Drosophila melanogaster: one gene and its partners. The protein of the gene in region 2 interacts with the protein of the main gene of each other region in a pairwise test. Each region holds a gene or a part of one and is shown on either strand. Other genes may lie near its edges.

Region 1 (5,452 bases), 2.5 Mb from region 2:
ACTCGAGTGCCTTCTTTAATATTTAAACTAGAGCAATTGAGAGATCTGTGTATGACGATAGCTATACTAAATATTTTTAACTGACGCAACAATTTCCACAAAACAAGTGACCTTTAAAACAGAGCTGCGCAAAAAATATATGAAAGCAATAAGTATTATGTAAACTAGTTTTAAGCTTTGGATACGGAAAGATAATTAAAATATTTCTAAGATGGCCGTTAAATATGTTAATTTATAATTTTTGGCGAGAATTTACAATTGTTCGCTGAATATTTTTATGAAAATAAAATAGAATTAAGAATATGGTTTTGTTATTTGTAGTAAAAAGGTGATAACGAGTTTTGGATTTCAAATGTTATGGAGTTATTGAAATAAAAATAAAATATGGTGGAAACCTTTTACTTTTTATAAATGACGTTCATTTTGAAATTGAAAAAAAAGAAAAGAAAACGATTTTTTTTTTAAATATCCGGTTTGGTATATCTGGTATTATTTATGGTTCGCGAGGTATATCGGTATATTTTAGTGGTCGATCTACGGTCACGCTGAAATATTTGTACACAATAAAAACCGGCTCGTTTTTTCGCTGAAAAAGGTAATAAACTAAAGTTAATGAACGCAAACGAAACAATCGGTGAAGTTAATCGACAAATGAGATGCATAATCCCGCGTTGCATTTTGGTGGATACAGAAATAGGCCAGAAATCGCGATTTCCACACCGCACCCATGACGTGTCACTCGCCCACTTCGTTTCTAATCAATTAGTTTGTTTTTATCCATAGAACGTGTTACTGTCTGCAAAATGATCACCGACGTGCAATTGGCCATTTTCTCCAACGTTCTGGGCGTATTTCTGTTCCTGCTGGTGGTTGCCTATCATTATATTAATGCCAATACCGGAAAGTAAGTAATCCCACTTGGTGAAGAAGAGGAAGAAGACAGCCCGGAATCAACAATAAAACCGATTTTCATTTATTTACAGGCCCAGTGCCAAGGCAAAATGATGTAGGATGTTTCCGCTAACAGACTAATATAGTTCTACCAGGATAATGATAATGCTGCTTCATTCGCAAAATAAATATGTAGTTGTACAAATCTAATCCAGGATGTCGTTAATGGCCTCCTTCATGGCCTGGACATCGTCCAGTGTTTTGCCAGATCTCTGATCTTTGCCTGTGTAGAAACTCCTCTGCGTTTGATGTCCAAAGCTGAAGGCCTTGACGTAGGGCAAACTTTTAGTTTCCTCTATCACCTCGTCCACCTCCATGGAATTGGGTTTGCTTTTGCCTTGATGCTTCTGTTTGCCCCTATTCTTGCTATGATCAAAGCGATAGTTTGCCGGAAGCTTGTGCGTTATGATGCAGTGATCCTTGCGCTGCCGGGCAGTATGAAACTTGATGGTGCACTCTTCCAGAAAGCAGGAAAACATGGGCTTGTCACCGCGCTCCACGCTGGCGGCAAAATAGCAATCGTGCTGTTCGGTGATGTGCAGATCCAGTAGATGGGCAGTGGGCAGCATTTTTCGGCATTCTACGCAGCTGTAGCTCTGCTCCTTATCTATGTTGTCCCTGATCCTAGCTGCCGCCGCATCCTGCTCGCCCAAGATGTCATCGATGTCCACGAGAACGCCGAGTTTCTTGAAGGGCGCCAAACTGGGTGCAGGCGGATCCGTGGGCTTTATGAATCCCGCTGGCACTTCGCTTAGTATCCTGATGATTTGCTCTCTGGAGAGAAGTGCTACTCCCGCAGCTTCCGAATCCATTTTGTTTGTGTTGCCAAAATGTTTTGTTTTGGTTCCTACGCCAGTTTCAACATGTTTCCACTGTACTGCCTCTTGGAAGATGTGATTTTGTTTAATTTATATAAAAATTAAAAATAATTTCCTTTTGAATTGAAATAGTAATACAATTTTTGAAGTGCATACGTAAAATAGACATAATTAATGAATTGAAATACTCGCTCATATTTTAGATGGATATATTTCTATATTAAACAACTGCAATTAAGTTGAAACATCTTAAATGCCTTTGAAATGATGCCACATCGCCAGACTTAGTTACGCGGGCTGGCATCGCCGTGCAGCACATGTGAACCTAAACTGGTTCCGCCCGAGAACCGGTTCTTTTTGGAATACGAAGCTGACACCGCGTGGTGTTTTTGCTTTCGATTCCGCATTTATTTTCCTTTCGACGCGTGGAAAATAAACAAATCCTGCCAAGATGAGTCTGTACAACTTCAAAAAGATCATGGTGGTTCCGCCAGCAAAGGTAAGGTGTACCCAGCAGCGCCCGTCCCGCGGAGCACCCCTTGAAGCAAAGACATAACCTCACTGGAGGTGTTTACCAATATGCGCAATATGTAAATAATATTTTATTTTTTGCCCTTTCCACAGGACTTCATCGACATTATGCTGTCGAAGACACAGCGCAAGACCCCGACGGTGGTCCACAAGGGCTACAAAATATCCAGAATCCGGGCATTCTACACGCGCAAGGTGAAGTACACGCAGCAGAACTTCCACGATCGCTTGTCGCAGATCATTCAGGACTTTCCCAAACTGGACGACGTGCATCCTTTCTACGCCGACTTGATGAACGTGCTGTACGACAAGGATCATTACAAGCTGGCGCTGGGTCAACTCAACACAGCCAGGCATTTGGTGGACAAGTGAGTGCCAAAGTCACAGATCCCCAAACGAACAAGGTTCGATTAACTATTCTATTTTTTATCCCGCAGTGTGGCCAAGGACTACGTGCGCCTGCTGAAGTACGGTGACTCGCTGTATCGCTGCAAACAGTTGAAGAAAGCTGCCCTGGGTCGCATGGCCACCATTATGAAGCGACAGGCCTCCAATCTGACGTATCTGGAGCAAGTGCGTCAGCATCTCTCGCGTCTGCCCACCATCGATCCCTATTCGCGTACCATCATCATCTGCGGTTTCCCCAACGTGGGCAAGTCCTCGTTCATCAACAAGATCACCCGCGCCGATGTGGAAGTGCAGCCCTACGCCTTCACCACGAAATCCCTGTACGTGGGACACACAGACTACAAATATCTGCGCTGGCAGGTCATTGACACACCCGGCATCCTGGATCATCCCCTGGAAGAGCGCAATGTGATCGAAATGCAAGCCATTACTGCCTTGGCTCATTTGCGCGCCTGCGTCCTGTACTTCATGGATATCTCCGAGCAGTGCGGACACTCCTTGGAGGAACAGGTCAAGCTGTTCGAGAGCATCAAGCCTTTGTTTACAAACAAACCCCTCATCCTGGCCATCAACAAGATCGATATTCTAACACCAGAGGATCTGCCAGAGGAGCGACGAGCGATTATCACCAAACTACAGGAGGACAAGAACATTCCCGTAATGCTCATGTCCACCGTACAGGAAACCGGTGTCATGGAGGTGAAAACCGAGGCATGTGAGCGTTTGCTCTCGTACCGTGTTGACCAGAAGATGCGCACAAAGAAGGTGGACAACATCCTGAACCGCTTGCATGTGGCGATGCCAGCGCCGCGAGATGACAAACTTCGTGCACCCTGCATCCCAGAAAAGGCCTCGGCGCGCCTGCTACAGAATGCCGACAAGGCAGAGCGCAAGCGCAAGCTGGAGAAGGAGATCGAGGAGGAGATGGGCGACGACTACACGCTGGACCTCAAGAAGAACTACAGCGAAATCCCCGAGGAGGAGCGCTACGACATTATTCCAGAGTTCTGGCAGGGTCACAACATTGCCGACTACATCGATGCCGACATCTTCGACAAGCTGGAGGAGCTGGAGCGCGAGGAGGGACTGCGGGAGGAGAGCGGCGTCTACAAGGTGCCCGATATGACCATGGACGAGACGCTCAAGGAGATCCGCGAGATAGCCAAGCAAATCCGTGGCAAGCGCTTCGAGCTGCGCGACGAAAAGCGACTGTCGTCGCGAAAGAACAAGCCAGTCATCCCACGAAACAAGCAGCCCAAGGTGCGTGACCGTTCCGTACAGAAACTGGTGTCGACGATGGAGGGCCTCGGTGTGGACATGTCCGGCAGCGAGAACGCCAACTTCACCAAGTCCGTGGTGGATCTGCGTCGTGGCCAGGTGGCAGTTGGCTCCAAGAAGGTGCCCATGCAGCCGCTGCTCGACAAGGAGTCCTCTGCGGTGGTCAGGAAGACTGGTCAGCCTCTGAAGCGGGCGCCGTCGCGCGACACACTGGGCATCAAGAACTTGGCCATTCGCAAGAAGGCGCAAATTATGGCCAAGCGGGATATTGCCAAGAAGGTCACAAGCAGGGGTCTCAAGGGCGAGGCGGATCGCTTCATCGGCACCAAGATGCCGAAGCATTTGTTCTCCGGCAAGCGTGGAAATGGCAAGACGGATCGCCGTTAAGCGCCGCAGCCTTGGCTGGTTAAGTGATTCTACCTGGTGGGCTCGCCTGCTCCTCTGTATAAACTAAGCGTCTATCTTTATCCCTGAAAAACATTTTCAATACAATATTGTATTTTTACAAACAAATTGTTTATTTTTCGGGGACCACACATCACACACTCAGTAAACTTTGGTGGAATTTTTGTATCATAAAAAGCAAAGAGCCTTGACTTCTGGAAAAGTTTATATAAAGAGAGAGACCTGAAAAGCATGTGCATTACTATTGTCTTTAGCACAAACAAAGTTTACCCCCATGGATATTTGCTCGTTTCTTACTTCACCTTGGCAACGTGGAAGTTTGTTTGGTTTTTACCAATTTTCTTGTCCAATGAGTAAAAGTTGTTCGGCACAGCAACATCATGTCCAAAGCCACCACAATTAAGGAGGCTCTGAAGCGCTGGGAGGAGCGGGAGCAGCAAAATTCCCTGACTGCCAAGGTTATTGATCTGCAATTCCAGTGGCCACCCATCGAGAAAATGGACAGCACATTGGGTACGCTGGTGCAGTGCGAGTGAGCTTAAAAGTTCTTAGTTCTTCGAGGAAAATGAACTCCTACTTTTCTGTTTCCCCTGCAGGAGAATCAGTATGTCCACGAATATGATTGAGAAGATATTCGGCTTATCGGGCATGAAGTGCCTCAAGGTATTGTCCTTATCACGGAACTACATTAAGCAGATATCCGGGCTGGTAAGGACGAATTAGATAGGTTCCATTAGCACATCATTTGCTTCTCTTATGTAGGAAGCGGTGGCTGAAACTCTGGAGGAGCTGTGGCTCAGCTACAACCTAATCGAGAAAATTAAGGGTTTGACTGGTCTGAAATGCCTGAAGGTGCTCTATATAAGCAACAATTTGATCAAGGACTGGTCGGAATTCAATCGCCTGGCCGAGATCGAATCTCTCGAAGATCTAGTGGTGGTAGGAAATCCCCTATCCGAGGGATTGGACGAGCCCACTTGGCGGGCGGAGTGCATCAAGAGGCTGCCCACCATCCGCAAACTGGACGGAGAACCAGTCGTGCTCAACGAGGAGCCGCAGCT
Region 2 (5,843 bases):
CTCCCACTGGCCCTTAAAGTAGATGGCGTTCACCAGCAAGGCCTTCACGTCGGACGTCATGCTGCCGGGATCGATCATGCCCTTGATTTTACCACTGGTCTGATCCAGCACCCACTGGTTGATTCTCTCGGCCGCCACAGGGCCATTGGTCAGACTAATGGACTCCGCCTCGGACTTGAAGGGTTCCCTCACAGCGAGGTTGTAGTTCTGATTCAGGCTGTACTGGTCGTTGACGTAGATGCGATTCGCGAGCTTTAGTATGGGTCCCTCCTCCTGTCCCTGAAGATCGTTGAGGAGAGCACCGTACCTGGCTGCCACCGCCTCTTTGTCCTCCGATGGTAAACCTAAGGCGCTCTGCAGCTCCTTGGCCGTCGAGCCTTCTGCGCCCATGAAGACCATGCTAAGGATGGTCTCTATGGAGACGGGCGAGACGACGAGGTTCTGGTTTGTATGGCTCTTGGAAAGTAGTTGGTAGATCTCTTTGGAGGTCTGACATGCCACTGAAGTGACCCACAGGAAAATGCCTAGTTTGGGGATGTTAATTATCAATTCGTTTTCAGCGTTCGGAAATTCTGTTCATGCATATTAAACTTGATATTTTTTACTTTTACAGACTAAAGCAAATCGAATTCAACGAAAGCGGATAGTCTTTGTAAGTTAAAAGTTAATGCCATAGCAAACGTCTTCACCATATTGTTTTATTATTTTCTATGAATTTAATTTAAATCATAAGTTATTATAGGTAATTTATTGCTTTGTATTTTAATTCACTGGCTATAAGCGATCGCCACTTACACAAGTAATACATTTGACCGTCTACAACGAACTCTTCCCCGAGATAAGTATCTCTGTAAACTGAGCGCCGAGTGCCAAGACGAGCTCATATATGCACTGGACATATATGTACCTACTGGCGATACTTCATTACGTTACTGAGAACTGCGCACACAGCTCTCTCGGATTGAAATCCAATGACGTCTAGTGGGATTTCATAGCTGAGTTCTATTCGGTCTCACTGCTGTTCTTAGACATTGTACATGTTGGCATCGAAACCTTCCCGTGACAAGCCCTCCTCTCCTGATCCAGATCCAGACTTGGGGTTCGAGAATCGGCCGGCGAAGAAGACGGCCTGCGGGTTTCGTATGTAAAAGACGAACGGGTGATCCGCCTTGAAGAGCTTCTTGTTCATGTTGAGCATCATGGGTACTATCTTCATGACTGAGTGTGGGAATCAGAGTTGAGATTAGTACGAGCAAGTTTGAGTTGCAAGCAGCTGATTTCACTTACAACTGACTGCTGCTGCCTCCGATCCTGCCTCATTTACGTCGATGTAGCCGCGGTGCCTTGCTGCCGAGATTTTTTGGCCACTTTGCGAGGTAAAGAGCCCGTCTAGCTTGGCCTTATCGCTGAAGACTTCCGTAATACCCAGCTGAGAATAAATATCAGATATTACATTGTTATTAAAACAAAGCCACTATTATCGGTTAAATGTATCTTACCTGATTAAGTACCTGCTTGAGGTCCACGTCGTACTCTATGCACATCCTGGGCAGAAAGATCTCGACATCCTGCAAGGTCAGCGCTGCGTCAATATCGGCTAGATCCACGGTGTTGAGTTGCTGCTCTAACTCCTGCAGACCGTTTACTTCGTTGGGCAGCAGAATTAGCATGTGAATGTTTGAGTAATCATAGGGCAGTTGCACAGCTCGAGCCTTCAGCTGTGGCAGTTCTGCGAACCGGAACTTGTCCTCTTGGTACATCATATTCACCTGCACGTGAGTGTCCCGGTCCACGTGGAAATGGTCAATCGATGTGGTCTCTGGCATAAATGGTTTCTGCCACTTTCCCTTAAAGTACAAGACATTGATGAGCAGGGCGCTCGTTTCGTTGTTCACGGCATCCGATTGAAGCAGGTTGGTGATCTTATGCTCCGTCTCCTGTTCCACCCAGTCGTTGATCAGCTGCGTAGCTCCCTCCGAATCGGCGAACCTCGTCGCCTCGGCCTTCGACTGGAAGAAGTCCACGGCGATCTCGTTGAACTCGGTAAGCAGTTCCAAGGAATCGTTGACGTACAATCGGTTCACGGACTTCAACACGGGTCCCCTGTCGCCGTAGTTACAGCTCGTGCGCCAGAACTCTCCGAAGTTTAGGGCTATGTGATGGCGATCTCCTGGTCCTAGCTGAAGCCCATTCCTTAGCTCCTCTGCTGTAGATCCGGAAGCCCCCATAAATGCCAAGGTCAATGCACTTTGGACGGATGCTGGAGAGAAAACCGTATTTATGTGGGGGTCTTTGCTCTGTTGCAGGGCATCTTTGGTAATGACATCTATCAGATTTCGCGCAAACTGATTTCTGCCTTCTTGGGGTTCGCTCATCTCGATCTGGGCAAAAAAATATATGTTTTAATTTATATTTTTAAATACTTAAATGTAACATAAGTATACAAAAATAAGACATTTTCGGGCCAAATCTCATTATCTCATTTGGCATTATCGCCAGCTGTTAAGCGCCAACTTGATCAATCCAGAACAATTTCGAATTCGGATTCAATCTTTAATAAAATAAAACATTTTCAAAATTGCCTATGCTAATTAAAAATAAATCCGAAATCCCAGAATGACGTATTAGCTTACAACTGCTACTAGGTGCTACTATTTATTTTAAAATAATAATAATAATTCCCTATTATATTTTTAATAGAACCGATGTAGAAAGTAAAGTGAAGTCAACTAGAACTTGCTTTCGTCATAACAAATTGCCTTATAGCAAACGACGCGATAGTAATTCAAAGATAAAATAACACACGTCACCTGATAAGGTTGTTGATGTTTTCAGATATTTAAAATTTAACAATACCCTCTACTGCATAGAGGGGATTACTGCATATTTAGATTACCGTAACTTAGCCTACTAAGTAAGTTTCGGAATTTCTTTAATTTACAAATCATCGATCAATGTGGACATGAAACAATAAATTTCTCTACGTGCACTGATAAGCTATTTTGGATCGGCGAAACAGGTGAGGGCGTCGCTGACCCTATGGGTGCGCTGATAACTTACACCGGAAAAAACAATCTCACGGATACAATCGGAAGGCAGCCGGAGAATGAGCGTGGTTTCCGTCAAACTGCGCGGAATTGACTAACGCCGCGAATCGCAGTAAGTCAGAACTGAACGAACTGCAACTCGATTAGATAAATTCCAAGAGAGTCTGAAGTGGCAAGCGCTCTCGACGGAGAGAAGTTCCTGGCGTACCCGAAATTGGAATGGTGTTGATAGCTCATCTAGCTTCTTATTAAAATATTTGCTCAAACTGCTGATAAGTCAATCTGAATCTCTTTCGAAAAATGAGTACTCACTGATTCTTCTATCGTAGACGCATATTTAACATATTTAACCTGAGATCGTCTGCTTTCTTCATCATGAAAGATGAGGAGTTCGCACAGGGCTTGGAACAATTCGCTCTTTGTCTGCACGACCATTTGTGCCGGGCAAGTGCTGGCCTAAACATCATCTACTCCCCATTATCCATCCACATCTCTGCGGCCATGCTGCGGATGGGAACATCCGAGGGATCGGCTACAGCTAAGGAGATGGACGAGGGGCTCCGTTTCGGTGGGCTAGAAGCTCAGCAAGTAGCTGAAAGCTTTGGTGTCGTCCTCAAGTCCTATGAACAGTGCCAGGTTCTTAAAATGGCAAACGGCCTATATGTTATGAAGGGTCTCCAAGTTGACGAGCAGTTTGGTCACATACTAGAGCAGAAGTTTCGCTCCAAGCCAATGGAGATTGACTTTGGCAGCGAGCAGGCTGCCAGCATAATCAACAAATGGGTGGAGTCACAGACCAACAACCTGATCAAGGACATAATCGGTCCAAGAGTTCTTACCAAGGACTCGCGGCTGTGCCTAGTAAACGGTATTCACTTCAAGGGTGAGTGGTCAATCAGTTTCAATGAAAAAGAAACCCGCGAAGAGGATTTCTTCGGATCGGATAGACCTACCAGAGTGAGAATGATGCATGTGTGCGAGAACTTCTTTTTTGCCGTACTTCCCATGTTCGAAGCCACTGCCCTTAGAATGAATTATAGTGCCTGTAATTTGGCCATGATCATTTTACTTCCTGATGAGAAGTCGAATCTCACGAGCCTCGAAAAGAAACTTAGTGATATTTCCCTAGAGGTAGTGTCATCAGCAATGAATCTGGAAAAAGTGGATGTGAAGATTCCTAGCTTTACAGCCGAGTTCCAGCAAGAACTATCCCAGGTTTTAATGCTGGTTAGCTGAAATGGATTTGTTATTGAAATTTGATTATACGCAACCTGGCTACTCACAGATGGGCATGAACCGAATATTCAGTGGTCAGGCAGAGCTTGGGGGAATGCTACAATCCGAGGAAAGCCTTTTTGTCTCCCAGATCGTCCACAAAGCATTTATCGAGATTAACGAAGTGGGCACTGAAGCTGCAGCCGCAACGGGTGAGCCTGCAAAAAAAAAAGGTTCCAAAACTTTTGGCAATTTGAAAGCCTCTTATATCTAGTACTCCGGATATTCTTACGAATGTCATACGAGGTGCTAAGCAAGTCCAATATTAAAAATTTCACTCAAATATGTATATATTCGCATTAACTAATTTAAACTTCTTGTTCAGCTGCGGTTGCCACATTTAGAAGCATGCCTGCGCGCCAAGGACCTCCAAAGGTATTCCACGCTAATAGACCTTTCTTCTATGCTATAAAGGACAACACCCATGGCCTTCTATTTGCCGGTCATTTTATCACAACCAAGGTTGAGCAGTCTGAAAAATGTAACACATGTACCTAAAGGAAAAATAAATATGTATATCTTTGGCGTGGGAAATAGTTGAGAAATAAATTGTACTTCCACTTAAGTTACTTATTAAACATTTGACACATTAAACGTGTAGGAATTATCTATTATTTATTATTATTATTATTATTTATTATTATAACATAAATCTGCCTTTGAAGGTATATAAAGGGTGTTATTCGATTCTATTGACTCATTCTATTGACTTCTCCCTAGAATTTTTGGCAAAATATAATAAACAAATTTAGGTAGGGAATGATTTCAGTTTCAGCTTTCCTCTGTTATCAGGGAACGGAAAAAATCCCATTATTGTCGAAGACAATAACAAGCTCAAGCTGAGCTTTGGCTGATAAGGTCGCAGTAAATCGTGTGGACCTGAAGTCAGGCCAGTCTATTACGTACGCTTTGCAGACTAGGTTTACTGTAAGCAAAATTACTGAGTATGGATTATCGTTTGGTGCCATGTGGTGAGTTATCCGGCAGTTTGACTTTAAAAAGCCAGTGAAAGAAAACGCATTATGGATGTAAAGAGTGAAATCAATGAGAACACCGAAGGCAGGCGAGAGAAAAACCCGTTTGGGAGCACGAACTGAAGAGAAATCATTGTTTTGTGGGGGAATACATATGCATATGCGAGTATAAAAACAATGTACGCTCGCTGAGAGAATTCAGTTGTTGCTCAAAGGCCACATTATAAAAGTCGAGGGCGATAGCCGGTTTATAAAAAGAAATTAATTTACACACTCGAAGCCGCTGGTGAAAAACAGTACCAGCAGTCGGAGCAGGCAGTTAATTACCCTTTCCGATAATCAAGCTAGTGAATCCCCGGCGAAACGGCCAACCGGAGAGATATAGTGAACACCGTTTGTGGAGGTGACTCATCAGTACACTGCAATTACATAAATTTATGAAAACGAGCACACCTCATCCACGGTCGATTTGGATACTTACAGGTTGCTGGTTGCTCCCCCTGCTCGGCCTAGCCCTCTTCCCGTTTCCACCGGTCCACACGGCTGA
Region 3 (5,487 bases), on a different chromosome or scaffold from region 2:
ATTGGCCACATAAAAAAAAGAGGAAAAAGAAAAGGAAAACGAATACGAGTAACGAGTGTAACGACAGACGTTATATTCGGAGGCGATTCGTAGTTCTTGTTTTTGTTGCCACTTCGTTGTTTGCCCGCAAGAGGAAGGCAACAACTTAGGCCCCAAAATGCCCAGAGATCTCGACTCCGGCTCCAGTTCCAAGACCGATTCCATAACCGATTCCGTCTCCGCTTCCGGCACCAACTCCGGCGAATCCGGGGTTGGCAATAGCTATATTCCCGGGCAGCAGCAGCAGCGTCAGCACCTCCACCAGCCTACTTCGCGCCCACCCACGCTGTGAATCCCCACAAATCTGACTCAGATTCAGATTTAGATAGCGATTCAGATTCAGATACAGATTCAGACAAAGATCAAAGTCCAAGAATCTCCAGCACCTACCTGCAAGCGCCACTGCAATTAGACGCATATTATCCACAAATCAATATTAATCACCAAATCAGCAAAGTAAGCACCGCTTTTCGTTTGTTCGAGCCACACACGCCAAACATAAAGCCAATCAAAACCCATAGAATGCACATACGAGCGCTTTTGTTTTGACCGCCAAACGTTGCACGCCTATCGCCGCCAAATAATCGATATTCGATTGGTAGCGCTTCGAAGGGGTGTAGCTAGCCATGCAATGCGGTTTCCTCCTCGTGAGGTCTAATTATTGAGTATTTACCATTATTTAAGTTGCATTATTTTGATTTTTCTTGAATTTTAAATGCATTGCAAAATTATCGCAAAGTCCACGATAGTTTCGATAGGTTTTTGCTTATCAGAAGGCCAACAAAGTTCGGTTTAACCAGCAGAACCAGGCATATAATATATAATATCCAACTCTTTTATTTGTAAGTGCTTGATTACAGTTTATATGTGGGCTTAAAAATAGAATACTAAACCTAAATGTAAATTAGAAAAATGTGGTACCTTTTTGTTGCTTAAGCTTTCTGATTTTGTAAATGGAAATAATCTTCTATATTGTTATAGTATATAATGTGTTTTAACTAAAGAATTAAGTAGTAGAAGTGAAAGATTTTATATTTCATTAATTCTGTTCAATAATGCCACCTATGCTGATTTCAACTAGGGATTACTTAAAAATATTAAACTACTACTCAAGTTGGACATGCTATGCGATTTTATTTGGCCTAATGGACTTTGGTGTAGATAATGTGTTTTTTAAGTATTGCTCTTGATTATAAGCGTTTTCATGGTTAAATGCTTTTAAACAATTCGTTTAATTTGCAACTGAACTTTAAAATTAAAAATAAATTTACAATTCCACTAGTCAAACACTGGATTTTTCACTTGATCTTATACCTTAGCTTAATAGCATGCAATTTTACGACTAATTTTTGATGGAATCCACTTTAATTTGGAATACATTTCTGCGGCAATAACAAGTTTAAAATAGGCGTCTAGGGCAATTTTCTCTGTATTTCGCACTTTTCGCAGAGTGGCGTCGAACCAAGAAGGCTGTTCGAGTAATGTTTGAATGAAAAACGTGAATGTACTCTTCGCTTGTGTTGGTGTCCACGAATGGAGAACGTGTGTGTATGGGTATGACGTGACGTCACATCATAGGAAGATAATTACTGTAAAAATTGTGTGTTAAGGCATAAAAACAAAATATTAAAAAAGAAAATGCATACTCTTTTAATTATAGTCAATATGATGCAAATTATTTTTGAAATCGAAACAATTTGTGGAACTGAAATCATTTACGAGAATATAAAAATATTTCCTAATTGAAGTTAGCTTGCTGTTAAGTTTCGTTACTAAACTTTAGCTAATTAAAAATACCGCACGGCTTACGATGTTTAAATTAAATACCGAAAAGATTGTGAAAAGCGCGCGAAGGTGAATTTCGTGGTACGGACCCTATATCTGTGCTCCTCTAACGCAAGCGTCGCTTACGGGCGACCCAAACGAGCAGCATCGTGCCGTTGCCTCGCACACTTCACCTCGGGATCCAATCAGATGTTCAGTGCCAACTCGAACGAACGCGTCGAACCAAAGTGACAGCGCTGTGTGTTCGACGTCGGATGTCGTGGGCTCTATAAAGTTTACTCTCCCCACAAGTCAGTGAATGCGGTTGAAATCAGTCGTAAAATACAACAAAGGCAGCGCAGCAGTCTCGCAAATTAAATGTAATTAAGTGCATTTAAGTTTTATACCTACGTGCTTCGATTCCCAATTTTCCTGTCAACAAAGCGCCGAAAACCCCGTGCTACCCAAAATCGCGGCTGTTCTCGCTCCTCTTGTTTTAGGGAATTTCGCGTGTGCTGTCATCGGAATATTCATTGTGTTGCTGCGCGTGTGTTTGTGCGGAGAGCGTGGTAGAAGCTCCACCACATTTGTTATGTCAATAATTAGCAGCCCCAAAAACGAAGCCAGAAATGCGTTGAGGTTGAGGCGTTGATCAAATGGGAAGCACTCCCGGCTTGCCCCGCTTTTCCCGCTCTGTAAATCGCCAAAAAAACTGCGCTTGGCCATCACGTGGAGAATTGATTTTTTGCCAAAAAACGCGACGACTTCATGTGTTCTTTCTTTCCTTTTGTTGGGAAATCCAATGGGAGAGCGGGCTCTGTTTTCCAGTCCAATTGGATTATGCCCGGCCGGGCTTTGTCCAATTGCCAGATTCTTGTTGGCGCTGCTGTCTCCTCTTTTTGAATTACATTAAATATTTAAAGCATATGCAAATTTGAACAGTGGCCCCGTAAAAGGAATAAAGGACCTTTACCTGGCCGCGTCCTCAACGTGCATCCCCCCTCCCCCCCGTGGTTCTTGTTCTTCTTCCTCGGCTCCTCCTGTATCTGTAGTTGTTGTGGTTGTTTTAGTTGCTGCTGTGAACCAGATGACACGCCTTCGGTTTCCCAGTTCCCTGTTTGGTCTGCCAGAGATGAGAGCGAACTAATCTCTTTCCAAATATATTATATTTAAAACCCCTTTCTATTTAAGACAGTTTATTCTTAAATATCAAAATAACCATATGTTATATATTTTAACTGGTAGTTTGATTGCGAATCTTGTTCTTTTCAGTTTATATTTTAAGTAAATACAAATCAAGGCATCTGAACCAACCAATGCCACCCGTCTTCTCTGGAATCTAATTTCAATTCTTTTAACAAAAATTCTGAAGAATGCCTGCCAAATCCCGATATGGTAACAACTTAGCTTCGCCCGGGGCTCATCTCTATTTGGCGGCCTTTCTTCGGGCTTCCAGCGCCTTTAGTGTCGTGCAAATCGTTTTTGTGGTAAGGGGTAACCCTTCTTTTTTCGGGGGTCTGTGGGCCTGGGCCTTTTCTTTTTGCACTTCCTCGTTTTTAGTGTTTTACTGCTTACCCAAATGCCGACACCCGAAATCACTCACACTCGTCGTGGTTTTCCTTTGCAGCAGCTGTGGCTTCCATCTCCGTGCTCCCATTTTCCACGCCTTCTCCGTTTTCCCCGATTCAAATGCATTTCGATTGCTTCGTTATGTGAGTGCACTCAACTTGGGAGCTGCGTGTGTGTGAGTGAGTGTGTGTGTGTGTGGAGGAAGAGGGATTCGTAAACAGTGTTTTCCTTGATGCCATGTGTCTGTAATGCAACGGTTGTCTATCCTGCGCCGTCTCGTGTCTTTTCCTAGCTGCTGTTTCCATTTCGCACGAACGCTTTCCCGGCCCAACAGTTCCATGTCCTTGTCACCCCTCAAAAGCCGCCCAAACACCCAACCACCCAACTGCCCCTTGCCCCGCCCCCTTTTGGCCCACTTGGGCGACACGTGCTCATTATGCCGCTTCAAATTTTACTCCACTTTCCGACTGTCGCTGCCGTGCGACTCCTTCTGCGGATGTTCCTTGAAACAACAGTTTGCTTAAGCTATACGATCCAAAATCAAAAGGGTGAATTTTTTAAGCCTACATTTAGCTACATTTATCCTTGATCAACAGGATATAGGCATGTCCATCTGTTGTCCGTCCGTAAGTTCGTCCGTTTCAACGCAATCAAGTCTCTCCCTCTTAAAACTACAATATCTTAATGAAACTTTACCAAAAATTGTTTAAAAATAAAAAGAAAAAATCAAAAATGAATTGGATTAAAATCGGACGAATATAACATATAGCTGCTATAGGAAGAGTGGGAATATTAATTGAAAATATTAGAAAATAAATCATATCTTCGTTGTTTTTCACCATAAATACTTCTCTACTTTTGGCTTAAATTATTAACTTACATAAATACACATTTTGTTTAATGTACAAAATGCCAGCCAAATCAACCAGCCATTTGGAGCAATACAATCAAAGCACGCTATTATGGCCCGTGACCAAATGTTGGAAGGGTCACCTCTACTACCTCTGGCTCATTGATAACCATAACAATCTTGTTTGCTGTTTGCACTTGGCAATTAAAAACTTGTTGATTGTGGGCGCTCCAGTGCTCGTACTCTGGGTGGTGGTACTCTAGTGGCAACTACCCACAATATGGGATGATTCCACACAGCCAAACTGCAGCAGCCGCCCAAGCACTAATATTTGATTTATGTGAGCTAGTCCATGGTCTGTGGAGCCATAAAAGGTTGTTTAGGGAGATGAGATGATCGCCCTTGGGGCTGACTGGTCAGTAAAGACCACTAAGACCACTTCCATTTAGTTGCTTATTAACGCTTGGATACTTACAACCGTGTATGATTAATAGCACTTGTTCGCCAAAGACTTGCACACTTATTTATTTTGATTTTTCAACCCTTTTCTGTACTTAAAATAGCTTAACTACTTAGAATAGATATATATATATATTTAAGTTCTCTTTCGTAAACTGCTATGTGCTTTAGTATAAGTATTGTATGATGATACCTGTCCAATACCATGGTACAATATCTAACCAATAATTCTCTATATATATCTCTCTCTCTTTTGTTTTGCAGTTGCTGATAACGTATACAAGTGGCAATAACAGAATAAATTAAGCCGGAAAAAAGGTCGAAAGGCCAAAAGTGAAATCCAATCCGGTGTGAAAACCAGTGCAAAAGTCAACAACTTGTGGGAGTCGAGCGTTCGTCCTCGAGTCCTTGAATCCTGCCAGTGTGCTCAGTGCTTTAAGTGTGCCAAGTGTGCGTCTGCGTGTGCGTGAGCGTGAGCCTGTGAGTGCGTCCGGGTAGCGGAGAAGCCACAACGTCGTCCACAAAACCATCGACGTCCACAGCCGCCGCCGCCGCTGCTGCTGCTGCCGCCGCTGCAGGTTCGGGATCGGGACAAGGTTCGGGAGCGGGTGCGGTATCAGGAACTGCTCCAGGCCACCAGAGGAGCGGCGGACGAAGCGGCCAGCGACGTCGCAGTAGCAGCGGTAATCCACACGCCGGCACAACGAAAGCGACCAGTGGCAGCGGTGGAGCTGGCAGCGCCGGCGGAGGAGGAGGCGGCGGCGGCGGCAGCGGTGGAGGCGGGGTCAAGCAGAGCGTCAGCCGGA
Region 4 (4,040 bases), on a different chromosome or scaffold from region 2:
CCATGTTTGGATAAATAACTTTATTGCTATGAACAAAATAATGATTATATTTTGTTGAAAAATTGGTGTTTCATTTTGGCAAAATGATGATTTTTTCGAAGAATTCAGTTTGCTATAACTTGGCCAAAAATGGTCACTTATTCAAAAAAATTACTGTTTTATACAGCTAATGATCCAAATAAACGATTTCTGTAACCGTTTTGTTAATTTGAAAAAATTGATTTTTTTCAAATTTTCAGATTTTTTATAAGGGGTAACATCATCATTTTTTGCGAAAAATTGACAAAAAATTACATTTTTAACTGTGAATGCCATTCGAAAGGCAATTTTATGACGAGTTCAACGAGGTATGGCATTCCATGTTTGGATAAATAACTTTATTGCTATGAACAAAATAATGATTATATTTTGTTGAAAAATTGGTGTTTCATTTTGGCAAAATGATGATTTTTTCGAAGAATTCAGTTTGCTATAACTTGGCCAAAAATGGTCACTTATTCAAAAAAATTACTGTTTTATACAGCTAATGATCCAAATAAACGATTTCTGTAACCGTTTTGTTAATTTGAAAAAATTGATTTTTTTCAAATTTTCAGATTTTTTATAAGGGGTAACATCATCATTTTTTGCGAAAAATTGAAAAAAAATTACATTTTTAACTGTGAATGCCATTCGAAAGACAATTTTATGACGAGTTCAACGAGGTATGGCATTCCATGTTTGGATAAATAACTTTATTGCTATGAACAAAATAATGATTATATTTTGTTGAAAAATTGGTGTTTCATTTTGGCAAAATGATGATTTTTTCGAAGAATTCAGTTTGCTATAACTTGGCCAAAAATGGTCACTTATTCAAAAAAATTACTGTTTTATACAGCTAATGATCCAAATAAACGATTTCTGTAACCGTTTTGTTAATTTGAAAAAATTGATTTTTTTCAAATTTTCAGATTTTTTATAAGGGGTAACATCATCATTTTTTGCGAAAAATTGAAAAAAAATTACATTTTTAACTGTGAATGCCATTCGAAAGACAATTTTATGACGAGTTCAACGAGGTATGGCATTCCATATTTGGACAACTATTTACATTGCTGTAGGAAAAAGACTGATCATTTTTCGACAGACTATAGAAAAAATACGAATGGATTATTTTTCTGGGCCTTTTATTTTTGTATTTGGGGCTAGCTTGGTGTTGCGAGTTAGCCTATTCAAATAGCCAGTTGGTAGATAAAGCTTTCTGATCCAATGTGAACTTCCTCTGGTTCTAACCACAGCCAGGACCATCGATGCGAGCGCCCTCCATGCAGGGATACGGCTTGCATGTGGTGTTGTTGGAAGACGACGCACCCTGATCCCCTCCAGTGCCCGCTGCTCCGCCCATACGAGCGGCGGCGGCCAGGACCTCGACGGTGCTATATATGTTGGCCACGATTACCATGCCGCCCGCAGCTCCGCTGGGCAAACTGTTGGGATCCGTTGCATCCGTTGGAGAACCATTGGTGGTCGTAGTAGTTGGCTGACAGTTGGGTGAGCATTGCTGGCCGGGAATCTCGGGAATGGCACACGCCTTGCTGGGATGTGGGCCAATGTAGAAGGGATTGAAGGGTTTGTCGTCGGACTCGAGGGTTTTCATGGTGATGGTGAGCGCAGCAACGTTTAAACGGCAAAGGTAGAAAATGTGGAAAAACACGGAGTTATTCACACGGAAAAATTTTGAATTTTTTTTTTTTTGGCTAGTTTTCCGAACTGTTCGGTGTAAGGTTTGCCCCAATACTGAACAAAAGTCAACCACACGGATGGTTTTATCTATGCGAGTTTCATTGCGAGGCCTACTTACTTGGGATAACAAATGTTTAATTTAGTTGTAATATTTTGCATAAATTTAATAGGTTACAATGTGCGTTAGCATCTCAATCGATGTGCATTGGCAACTTAGTTAGCCGCAATTTACTGAGAAGGCAATTGTCTAGTTTAGTGTATCATTTAGTAAATAGGATTAAAATGGGCTAACAAGTGCGCTTACAACAGCTTTATAATTCACATACGCACACACACGCACACACATACGCATGCACGCATACTAACAATGCAACGCTGCTGGCAAATGGAATAAATGGAAATTCCTGGAAATAGTTTTCTTTGTTATTTACTCTATTCCGATCAAATTAAGATAATTAGAAAATAATATGGGAACACGATAAAGTACCCAGCTTCGAAAGCATTTGGTACAGTTTGTTTGTACTGTTTTTGGGAAACTAATTAATTCCCAAATGAAATTAAATTAAAGAAATTGATCGGTTTAGAGACCTAAATGCCTTAGTATCGGAACTAACATATATATTCTGCTCGATTTTACTCGCTTCTCGCAGATGCGGCACCGCTTAACCCCAATCTGCCTAACAAAGTGACCGCCGTAACCATGTAACTGTCCAATATGCTACTAAAACCACTAAAACCAGCCAGCGACAATTAAAGCCAGCCGCTAGAGAGGATCGGGAGCAGGAACAGGAGCAGCAGAAGGAGGTGGAACTCTAGCCGCTCCAGCAGTACATAACATACACTGAGAGAAACATTATGGCCGGGCCACAGGTGCAGCACAGCCAGCGACCGAATAGCGCCTACTACACGGGTCTAAATGGTGGTTCCGGCAGCGGCGGCGGCGGAGGAGGAGGAGGAGCTGGAGGCGGCGGCGCAGGTGGTGGATCCTCCGCCGGAATGTCAAGCAGTGCATCGCACACCGGACTGCATGCCCTGCGCCAGGTGAGCAACGAAACGGAGCTCATCTATCGTGGAAGCCACAGCAATGGCACCGTCAACGAGCTGCCCTCGAGCGCCCAGCATCACCTGCTCACAGGTCGAGCGGTCCAGCAGCACCAGCAGCAGCAGCAGATGCATCACCAGACGGTGAGCAGCATCGCTGGCACCGGATCCAGTGTCACAGATGCCCTCATCAGCACCATTAACTCCGGCGGTGGCGGTGGTGGTCCCTCCGGCAGCAGTTGCTCCACGGCGGCATTGGGCATTAAAAAGTCCAGCACGCAACGCAGCATCGAGATTATTGTGGACGCCAGTCAGTGCGGCAAGGAGCTGGTGGCCAGTGGTCCGGGTTCGGGTGCAGCGGGCTCGGGGGCAGCGATTGTCTCCACCCTGGACGTGGAAGATGTGGAGCAGGGCGGTGGCGGTCAGGAGTCCTCCTCCTCGCATAGGAAATCATCGCGCCATCGGCATCGACCGCTCCACCGGCGGCTGATCACGTATCTGCGGAACCTCTTCCAAGGCAGCACCACACAGAATGGTAAGGCAGCTTTTGTAAGAGGAGCAACTGCATCCACTTGGGCATTTCATGCATTTTCCTAAGCTTCTAGTTTTGAGCTAGATAATTTCTTGTAAGGAAAGAGGGAAACCCGAAACTTAGATATGTGATATGATTAAAGTACATTTGTCAGTTTCTTAAGAAGTTGTTTTGAATTATATTATTTCAATTGGTTAAAAAAAGTAGTTAAATTTAACCTTTTTAACAAATGAAAATTTAAATATTATCATTAATGATTTCTGTTTCTAAAGAGCGTTTTTTTTTTCACTGTAAAGTTTTAGTTTTTCAAAAGCACTCTTCCACTTTCACTTGTCACCCTCTGTTTTATATTCTTTTCAGAGTGTACTTTACATATTTGATTTTTTCTTTTTGATTTCTGTTTTTTTTCTTTCTGTGTAGCTGTGAAAACTCTGCTGGTTGCCTGGGGCTGCATCGCAAAGCGTAAGCGGCAATGTCTGTTCTTCACCCGTAGAACCCCTTAACCCTTACCCTAACCGCGCCGCCTTTAACCCGATTGTTGGCCATGACTAACCCCTGCCAAAAAACGTGCTAACCATTTTCAGTTTGGGTCAATTCATGGCCATGAATCCACAGCCGTTGGCCTGGCCGCGTTGCAGATATACATATTTTTTTTTGTTTTTGTGCGCATCTTGAGGTTGGCAGGCGGGAAAAAACGCTCGTAAAACGCGCCTGCGGTTCCGCGGCTGTTTTTGTCGCCTGG

What was found.
Region 1: the proteins of Spn42Dc (region 2) and Non1 interact in a two-hybrid assay, tested with the Drosophila melanogaster proteins (one large-scale study listed by BioGRID).
Region 3: the proteins of Spn42Dc (region 2) and CG31688 interact in a two-hybrid assay, tested with the Drosophila melanogaster proteins (one large-scale study listed by BioGRID).
Region 4: the proteins of Spn42Dc (region 2) and CG15198 interact in a two-hybrid assay, tested with the Drosophila melanogaster proteins (one large-scale study listed by BioGRID).

The regions. Positions count from the first base shown.
Region 1 is NT_033778.4:9,395,400-9,400,851, reverse strand, and holds Non1 (putative nucleolar protein 1), read left to right. Parts: upstream 1-2,117; 5' UTR 2,118-2,220; coding exon 2,221-2,268; intron 2,269-2,393; coding exon 2,394-2,668; intron 2,669-2,737; coding exon 2,738-4,373; 3' UTR 4,374-4,587; downstream 4,588-5,452. Other genes in the region: CG33774 (uncharacterized protein), read left to right, coding at 804-904, 984-1,005; l(2)k10201 (lethal (2) k10201), read right to left, coding at 1,098-1,763; ODA-Dnal1 (outer dynein arm dynein axonemal light chain 1), read left to right, coding at 4,772-4,923, 4,988-5,099, 5,154-5,452. UniProt on the Drosophila melanogaster protein: Involved in the biogenesis of the 60S ribosomal subunit. Required for normal assembly of the mitotic spindle. May be involved in both centrosome-dependent and centrosome-independent spindle assembly programs.
Region 2 is NT_033778.4:6,878,295-6,884,137, reverse strand, and holds Spn42Dc (serpin 42Dc), read right to left. Parts: upstream 3,144-5,843; 5' UTR 3,061-3,143; intron 2,491-3,060; exon of another isoform or gene 2,382-2,490; 5' UTR 2,376-2,381; coding exon 1,500-2,375; intron 1,430-1,499; coding exon 1,288-1,429; intron 1,219-1,287; coding exon 1,025-1,218; 3' UTR 809-1,024; coding exon of another isoform or gene 796-808; 3' UTR 731-795; downstream 1-730. Other genes in the region: Spn42Dd (serpin 42Dd), read right to left, coding at 1-524, 796-808; Spn42Db (serpin 42Db), read left to right, coding at 3,423-4,274, 4,333-4,474, 4,648-4,820; Spn42Da (serpin 42Da), read left to right, coding at 5,269-5,293, 5,780-5,843.
Region 3 is NT_033779.5:20,426,979-20,432,465, forward strand, and holds the start of CG31688 (uncharacterized protein), read left to right. Parts: upstream 1-2,046; 5' UTR 2,047-2,183; intron 2,184-4,945; 5' UTR 4,946-5,487.
Region 4 is NC_004354.4:11,246,008-11,250,047, reverse strand, and holds CG15198 (uncharacterized protein), read right to left. Parts: upstream 1,813-4,040; 5' UTR 1,640-1,812; coding exon 1,271-1,639; 3' UTR 1,163-1,270; downstream 1-1,162. Other genes in the region: CG44422 (uncharacterized protein), read left to right, coding at 2,581-3,301.